Oryctolagus cuniculus: one gene and its partner. The protein of the gene in region 2 purifies or fractionates together with the protein of the main gene of each other region. This does not show direct contact. Links are inferred from orthologs where the notes say so. Each region holds a gene or a part of one and is shown on either strand. Other genes may lie near its edges.

Region 1 (4,589 bases), on a different chromosome or scaffold from region 2:
AGTGCTGCCAAGCGGATGGCCCACATCCACAATACGACCCTTCTTCTTCTTCTCTTAAAGATTCATTTATTTCAAAGTAAAAGTTAGAGAGTGACATCTTCCATTTACCAGTTCACTCCCCAGATGGCCAGGCCTGGGCCAAGCTGAAGCCAAAAGTTTCAGAAGCTTCATCCGGGTCTCCCAGGGGGGTGGCAGGGCCATCGATCAGAAGTGGAGCCCCTGGGACAGGAACCAGTGCCCACATAGGATGCCAGCATTGCAGGTGGTGCCTTGACCCGCTATGCCCCAACAACGCTACTTCCTAAGCCTGCCAGACCAAGTACACTCCCCGAGTCATAAGTGAGGGGATTCAAGTCACAGATAAACCAAAACCAGTGAAGATTTCATAGGACTTTAAGACCAAGAACTTCAAATCCTAAAAATACGACTTTTCCCTCACAGATGGTGGAGCCTAAGACAGGCACCTTCAGGATAAAACTTAACAGCACCAACGTGGAAATTTCTAAGTGTTTCATGATAAATGATCGTCAAGGCTACTTGCTCCCAAGAATAAACGGCTGACCTATACTTATCCCCTCGGCCCCAACGTCCCACCGCCGCACCTGCGGCACGCACATGGGAATATGTGACCACATTTCCAGCAGACCAGTTCCCCTCTCCCAGTCTCCTTTACCTCTTGGCTTCTTCCAAATGACAAAGGTACTCGTACGCCACATTCTGCCGTCTCCTTTCATCCATCTCCTCTGCGGTGAGTCTCTCATTATCCAGGACAGCTAAAACGCGAAAGAAAGAACCTCGTGAACCCCAAGATTGGTCACCGTCCTGAGAGGTGAGAGAATGTGGCAGCCCTCAAATTGCTGCAAGTCACCCGCAAGGTCAGGGTAGCGGGAGGCTGTGTAGACAGCTAGATACGCTACAATGGCTTTCCTAAAAAAAGAACCATGGAGTTTCAATTATACTCATCTTGTTCTTTTTTCCAAATGCATAACACAAGTACGAGCATGAACTGCATTTCAGTGTAGCCTTGCAAAACACTGACTTGAAAGGCCAGCATTGTGACGCAGCAGGTTAAGCCACCGCCTGCCATGCAGGCATCCCATACCAGAGCACAGGTTAGAGTCCCAGCTGCTTTGCTTCCCATCCAGCTCCCTGCTAATGCGCCGGGGAAAGCACCGGAGCATGGCCCAAGTCCTTGGGCCCACGTGGGAGACTGGGATGGAGTCCACGCCCCTGGCTTAGGCCCGGCCTAGCCCAGCCCCGGCAGCTGCAGCCACTTGGCAAGTGAGCAGGTGGCTGGAAGTTCTCTTTCTCTCTGTCTCTCCCTTTCTCTATGTCATTTTGTCTTTCAAAATAAAACAAATCTTAAAAATGCTGACTTGCTATTTAGGCCCAATTGTGCCTTGTCTATCCGCCAGGTCCAGCCACATCATTCCCCAGACCCTGAAGCTCTGGACCCAGCGGCAGTGACCGTGCTGAGCAGCTTACAGCCTTGGCTCACTGAAGGCCCAGCGATGAGCACTCTTGTTTTTCAGCTGGGGAAACTGAGGCTCAGTGAGTTCAGCACGCACGCATGCACGCACGCAGGCACACCCCAAGTGGCAGTGGCCTGGGTTCTGCAGCCTGAGAGCCTGAGGTTGAAGCAATCTGCTTCCTCCACACAAGCCAGGCTGGGGAACAAACTCCCAACCGCCTGGCAAGGACTTCAAGGCCTGTCCCAGTTTTTCCGGAAGCCCTTCGCCCTCTCCCCGTGCTGCCTCCCACCACGGTGCACTGCACACCACCGAGAGGCAGCGCCCGTCACCCCTCCTCCCTCTGCAAGTCAGCCTCCTGCCCCACCCTGACCTTCAAGGCTCCCTTCCAGCGTCCCCACCTGCGCTGGGCCGTCTTCCCAGACCCCTTCTCCTCACTCCGATCACCCTGAACGCCTACTTATGCACCTTTTATCTTTACCGCACATTCTCAGCGTGTACACCTGTCTCTCTGATTAACAAAAAAAAATCTTCGAAGGCAGGGCCGGGTCTTACTCATCTTTAATTTCACAAACGTGGCACAGTACCCCACGTATAACTGTCAGTGGGGGAAATCATCCTTTAAAACAATAACACAGCCTCCAGAGAATAAAATCGAGAACCCAGCGACACCCCCCCCAAAACAGCAGTCAGTATCCCGCCTACAATTTAATGTCCCAGGGATGGGCTACAGAAAATGAGGAAGTCAGAGGATTTGGGGTGTTTTTTTTCTTTCTTTCTTTTGAAATCTTTACAAGCGAACTAAAGCCCCAGCAAGCTGAAGCGACTTGCCCGGGACCGCACCTCGCGGCCAGGCGCGGGCAGGCAGGCAGCCCTCGGGGCAGCACGTTCCCGCGGAGCCGGGCAGAGCACCGGCCCCCGGCCCCCGGGGCACGCCCTGCACCGTGCTGCCACCTCACCCGCGCCGGCTCCCAATCTCGGCAGAGCCGGGCGGCGGGAGGCGCCGGGAGGGGTTCCCCCGGCCGCGGCACGGAGGCCGCCGAGGTCCTCCCCGCCGCCTCAGAGCCCGAGCAGGCGCGGGCCGGGGGCCTCGCCGTCCACCGGCCGAACCAGCGCTTCCGGGTGCGCGCGGCCCGCACCCGCCCTGCCCCACCCACCGGGGCCGAGTCCCCTCCGAGGCAGCAAGCCCGACCCCGAAGCCGAAGCCCCTGCACCTCGGAGCCCCTCACTCACAGCCATAGTGCGGCCGGGCCACGCCCAGCCCGTCAACCTCGTCCGCGGCGGACATGGCGGCCGAGCCCAGGTCTCTGCTGAGGAAGCGGTGAGACCTCGAAGGCGCGGGCGGCGACAGCTGCAGCGACTGCCGAGTGCGCGGGCTGCCCCGTGTCCGAGCCCCGCCCCGTGCCGCCGGCCCCACCCGCAGGCCCCGCCCAGAGCCAGCGGAAAGGGGGCGTGTCCGTGCCCGTCAGGGCCCGCCCTGGCACCGCCCCTAGCTCCGCCCCTCCCCGCGAGCCGCTACGTCTTCTGCAGGCGGAAGGAAGGAGGCGGAGTCCGCCGGCCAATCGGGCTCGTGCTGGGTTCGGCGATTGCCGGGAAGGAGTTCCCGGGCTGCAGCCCCGCCCTGCGGGGCCGCCGCCCCACCCGCAGCTCAGGCAGCCGGACTGGTAGGGTCGGCGGCTGAGAAGTCGACGCGGTGGGCCGGCTGGCTTCCCCTGCTGGCCCAGCTAGCCTCCTTTACCCCGAGGCTCGCGGTGTTCCTGTTGGACCCACGCAGAACCCAGCGTGCTAAGTAAGGGACGCCCGGTCCCAGCCCGCGCATCTGGCCCCGGTCCCGCCCAGGTGCGCCGGCGCTCGCCGGTTCGGAACTGCGCAGTCTCTCAAGTATTTGCGATGCAGGAGCCAACACGGGAGCGCCGCGTTTGTCTGGACGCCCTTCCTTTAGTGTCCTTGCCCTTGTTCTCTGCGAGTTCCTTTTCGGGGGACTCTCGACCCCCGTCACGGACGCCCCTTTCTCTGCGCCTGGCAGCCTGCCCTTAAAATGCCGGTATTCCAAGGAATGCCATGCTCGGCCCTCTCCCACTGCCCCTGGGCCCGCTCTGGGTGAGGTTACGCTGCCTTTAAACCGTGGTGACTGCTAAACAGACGGTCAGGAAGCCGCTCGGGATTTGCAGCTGAGAAGCACTGTATCACCTGTGGGTGCCGCAGACACTTCGGGTTGCACCTGCGCCTGCCGTGGTCGCCATCGGGAGAAGTACTCGGTTCCCAGTCAGGGCAGCCCACCCACGTGCGGTCCAGGCTATTTCTGCAGCGTGTCGCCTTCGCCTGTCCCCGCTGTGATGACCCCGTGGTCGCCTCTGCCAGCCAGCGCCTCACGGCGACCAGGGCTACTTCCTAAACCAAAAATGCCCGGTGCTTCGCTTTCTTCTTTTTCACCTCGTGATTCCTTCCAGAATGTGGTCCAGGTTTCTATGTAGGCCAAACAAGCTTCTTCGCAGTCTGGCTGCAGCCTTTTCCAACCCGCCATTTACAGTTTATTCACGCTTCCTTCAAACTATTAAAGTCGACAGTTAAAAAAAACTATGAGAACAAACACCCCCGCAGAAAAAAAGGGTGTGGTCTGTTATTGTTACCGAAGTCATTTCCTTTTTCAGCTTTTGAGTTCACCTTACAATTTGTATTATTCTATTACCAATCCCGTTTCAGAAACCAAACAACTGACTTCATTAACGCAACGTCTTCAGACACCTAAATTTATGTCCGTAACAGTACATTAAAATGTATTGCGGTGTAGCAGGTAAAGCCGCTGTCTGCAACCCCGGCATCCCATATGGGTGCCGGTTCAAGTCTCAGCTGTTCCACTTTCGGAGCCAGCTGCCTACTAATGAGCCTGGGAAACCAGTGGAAGATGGCCCAAGTACTTGGGACTCTGCCATCCATATGGGAAGCTCCTTGCTCCTGGCTTTGGCCTGGCCCAGCCCTGACCATTGAGGCCATCTGGGGACAAAACAGCAGATGGAAGATCTGTCTCCTCTTTCTGTAACTCTGACTTTCAAATAAATAAATAAGTAAATCTTTTCAAATTTTAATTCCTTCAATTGTCTAGCATAGAATATTTTAAAA
Region 2 (4,538 bases):
CAGTTTGAGTCCCAGCTGCTCCACTTCCAATCCGGCTCCCTGCTAATGTGCCTGGGAAAGCAGTGGAAGATGGCCCAAATCCTTGGGCTCCTGCACCCACGTGGGAGACCCAGAAGAAGCGCCTGGCTCCTGGCTTTGGATGGGCAAAGCTCCAGCCATTTCGGCTGTTTGGGGAGTGAAACAGCGGGTGGCAAACATCTCTCTCTCTGCATCTGCTTCTCTATAAGTCTTTCAAATAAATCTTTTTTTTTTTTTTTTAGGAAAAAATGTTCTTTGTAACTTAGTATATAGTCATTGTTTTAAAAGAGTTTCTCTGCAGAAATCAAAGTAAGAAGCTTCCTACTTCTCTCACAACAGGTATCTCATACCATGGTTTGCAACAGAATATCTGGTCAATCATCGCTGTGTATCATATTTTGTAAGAATGGATTATCAGTTGGTTCACAAAACTGAGATGGTTAGGCAGAGAAATTTATCAAATGTTGGCCTTGAGTTCTAATCATTAAATAAGAACCTCAAAGACTGATGCTGTGGCCTAGTGAGTAAAGCTGCTGCCTGCGGTGCTGGCATCCCATATGGGCACTGGTTCGAGTCCCAGCTGCTCCACTTCTGATTCAGCTCTCTGCTATGGCCCAGGAAAGCAGTGGAAGATGGCCCAAGTGCTTGGGCCCCTGGACCCACATGGCAGACTGGGAAGAAGCTCCTGGCTCCCGGCTTCAGACTGGCCCAGTGGCCATTGTGACCATTTGGGGAGTGAACCAGCAGGTGGAAGATCTTTCTCTCTCTGCCTCTCCCTTTGTCCCTCTAACTCTGCCTTTCAAATAAATAAATAAATCTTTAAAAATAAAAACGAAGAACCTCTGCACTATCATAATTTAAAATGTTTTAAAATTACATGTTGTTAAAAATCATTCCCATCTTGCATATGTCATCTCTTAAAAATCAGTGTAAATGTTTTGCTCTTAAGTCCCTAACAATCTGATATATCACAGGTGGATAGAACCATTTATATACATTGAAATATTTACACTTCCTACTTTTTTAAAAAGATTTATTTATTTTATTTGAAAGTCAGAGTTACACAGAGAGAAGAGAGGCAGCGAGGCAGAGAGAAAGAGAGAGAGAGAGGTCTTCCATCTGATGATTCACTCCCCAATTGGCTGCAATGGCTGGAACTGCACCAATCTGAAGCCAGGAACCAGGAGCTTCTTCTGGGTCTCCCACATGGGTTCAGGGGCCCAAGGACCTGGGCCATCTTCCACTGCTTTCCCAGGCCACAGCAGAGAGCTGGATTGGAAATGGAGCAGCCAGTTCTGGAACCGACACCCATATGGGATGCCAGCGCTTCAGGCCAGGGCGTTAACCTGCTGTGCCCCTACTTCCTACATTTTTATTCTTTGCGCTCAAGTTTTCAATTGATAATCTATATTTTTTAAGGAATAAAATAATCTTTGCATCATACTGATGTTTCCTTCTCAAAGTCTGTGATAATTTGGGGAAGGGGTAATTAAATTATGTAAGTGTATGAGATTTTTTTAAAAAAGGGAAAACATAAAATAAATATTCCATATCTTAGGGAACTCCATAAGATGTATTTTTCTTGGAGCAGGTGTTTGGTTCAGCAGTTCAGACACTGCCTGGGACAGCTGCATCCCATACTGAGAGCCGGGGTGCAGTCCTGGGCCCACTTTCAGTTCCAGCTTCCTGCTCATGGCACACTGGGAGGCGGCAGCAGTGACTCCTGCACTTGCTTCCTGCCACACACATGGGAGAACCGGATCGAGTGCTGGGGTTCTGTGAGCATTTGGAGAGTGATCCAGCAGACAGAAGATCTACGTCTGTCTGTCTCTAGCTCACTCCCTCTAACTAAAATAAATGAATAAAGTACAGTTTTCTTCACAACCACATTACAAATTAACTTAAATTTTTTCCTGTTAAATCCTTCCTTTTGAGTTCAGAAATAGCTGATGGCTTATAGCATACCTTTTAAGAGAAATGGGAATAAGCATCTATTTTTTTCCTTGCTTAATTCTGTGAATGTTTTACATTAGTCTTTTTATATAAAAACAAAAGCACTTTTGGACCCTAACTCCTTAAAAAGGCACATTACACATAAGGTGAGTGTTCCTCTGATGCAGGTTTTCTCTCCACAAGAAACTGAAGACTTAGGGAAGTTAAAACCCACTTTCTTCGACCTAATCCATAATTTGTAAAGACTTCTCAGCTGTTGTGTGATTTCTGGGTGTTGTTCAGGGGTACTTGGGGACCCTGGCATTCAAAGTTGAAGGAAACTAGGAAACCAACCCAGGGCTGAGGGAGGAGGAACAGGAGGGGTGAAACACCTGTGACAGGCGGTGAGCCAGCATTAGGTTCTCCAGGATTCTCAGCCCCAGAGAAAGCGAAAGCTTCCTCTCCCAAGAGTTCGGGAAGAGTCAGTACTTGCAGTGCCTCTGGGGAAATGCCACTAGACCTGGGGTTTCTCTCAACTGTAGAAATCACAGCACAGGCACAAGCACTGCTGGCTTAGTGTTGAGGTAACCAAATGCCCACAGAGCTGAACAAGATCAACAGCAAAGTCAAGGTTAACACAGGTGATGCCACGGAAGCTCGAGAAATGCCGCCGTTATCTCAGAAGCCCAGAGTTCCCAGTCTTTGCAACTCTGCCACCCCCACCCCGATCCCCAAGAAATGAGCAGTTTTGTCCTGAGTGTCCTCACCTCCTCCCGGTCACCTCTTGCTGCAGGCGTCCTCTCTCGGCTGCGGCGTCCGAGTGGTGGCTGAGGCTCGCAGCCTCTTATCCCTTCCTTCCAGGGAGGACAGGGCGGAGGACTGTTGCAGTCCCACTGCAGCCGAGGCAGCCAATCAGGGCTGAGGGCGGAGGCGGCAGGGCAGCCAGGCCTGCACACAAGGCCGCATTGACCAAATGCTCCCCCCGCCCCCACCACACTTGCTGGGAAGCCAAGATCACACAGGGACTAAGGAAGAAAGAGGGCCTATGAGGCAGGAAGTGGGGAGTCAGCTTTTTGTGTTTAATTTTTTTTACATATTATATGAATATTGATGTTTCTCTAAAAGCGAGGTTGGGGGTAGGGAGAGGAGAGGGACATGGATTAATTGACTCAAACAAAGCAAATGTACAGCCAAGAAGGAGAGGCTTCGCGCACAGCTGAATGTAAGAGATGAAGTGGCCGTGGGCTGGTTTCCAATGAAGAGGCCAGCGAGCTGCTTCTGTCTGCCAGCCGCTCCTGGTCTGGCCTCTGGGGACATTAGTATGGCAGTGGTCAGCTCTGGGCCAAACGGCACCTCAGAAAAGCTGCGGGGCCCAGTGTCTGCAGGGACTCAGTGCGTGTTTGGGAAAGTCCTTGTTCAAGTCTCTTAGACAGAGAACATGCACCCGTGGAGCCCAGGCCTCCACCTGCACCCTAACTGAAAGGCCACCGACTGTCACGGCTGCACAGAATTTTGGAAACATCCTCTCCGAAGGCTGTTTTCAGAGGTGTAGAGAGAATGCCTCCCATAGAGGCCTCCACAAGCCATGGGAGAGTCACGTCCAGACTTCCTGCTGCCATCTTCACATGTGGAAACTGTGGGGAGCAACTGGGAGCAACTCAGACTAGACTAAGTTACTGGAATTAAGACTTATTCTATGCATCTGCTCTCCCACAATATGGCGCTGGGAGAGGAGCAAACAGCTTCTACCCAGCTGCCTCTCACCAACTTGACAAGCTGCAGGACCTGCTCCTGATTGGAGGAGAGCAGCGTACTCGGCGTGTGGGTAGCAGAGTTGGGATTGGTGGAAGAGGACTATAAAGGAGGAGAGAGACAACACGCACCAGGAACATCTATCTGAAGGAACATCTAAGGGGAACACCTGTGCAGCCCCCGAGAGAGCCGGCCGGCGGTGTGCCGCTCCCCTGCAGAAGTGGGGAATGTGGCCAGGGGGAACCGCCCTTCCACGGAGGTGGAAGGGACGGTAGCCAACCCGGGAAGAACCAGCAGCAAACCCGGGGAGGGCCGAGCAGACGAAAGAACAACGCAGGGTCCTGTGTCGTTCCTCCACGAAGAGGGGGAGCGACATAATGGTGCCGTGACTCGGATATGAAGCCTAGGCAGGGTTTAGTGTCGTTCCTCCACGAAGAGGGGGAGTGACAGAAACCAGTTTGTGGGTGCTGTAAAAAATGGGCGTTCTGGGGTCCGTGCTGTGTCAGAGTAGGTTAAGCCTCCACCTGGGGCACTGGCATCTCATGTGGGCTCCAGTTTGGGTCCCGGCTGCTCCACTTCTGATCCAGCTCTCTGCTATGGCCTGGGAGATCAGCAGAAGATGGCCCAAGTCCTTGGGCCTCTGCACCTGCATGGGAGACTCAGAGGAAGCTCCAGGCTCCTGGCTTCGGATCAGCCCAGCTCCGGCCATTGTGGCCATCTGGGGAGTGAACCAGCGGATGGAAGACCTCTCTTTCTGTCTGTCCCTCTGTAATTCTGCCTCTCAAATAAATAATCTTTTTAAAAAATAAAAAGAAAAGTAGGCATTCCTGTTGACA

What was found.
Region 1: the proteins of S100B (region 2) and IQGAP1 purify together in Homo sapiens (co-immunoprecipitation; 3 studies listed by BioGRID and IntAct, with this or other methods). This does not show direct contact. The link is inferred for Oryctolagus cuniculus from reciprocal best matches to the Homo sapiens genes S100B and IQGAP1.

What each region holds. Positions count from the first base shown.
Region 1 is NC_091443.1:100,819,484-100,824,072, forward strand, and holds the start of IQGAP1 (ras GTPase-activating-like protein IQGAP1), read right to left. Parts: upstream 2,903-4,589; 5' UTR 2,758-2,902; coding exon 2,703-2,757; intron 774-2,702; coding exon 674-773; intron 1-673. UniProt on the Homo sapiens protein: Plays a crucial role in regulating the dynamics and assembly of the actin cytoskeleton.
Region 2 is NC_091435.1:235,756-240,293, reverse strand, and holds the start of S100B (protein S100-B), read right to left. Parts: upstream 2,865-4,538; 5' UTR 2,718-2,864; intron 1-2,717. UniProt on the Homo sapiens protein: Small zinc- and- and calcium-binding protein that is highly expressed in astrocytes and constitutes one of the most abundant soluble proteins in brain.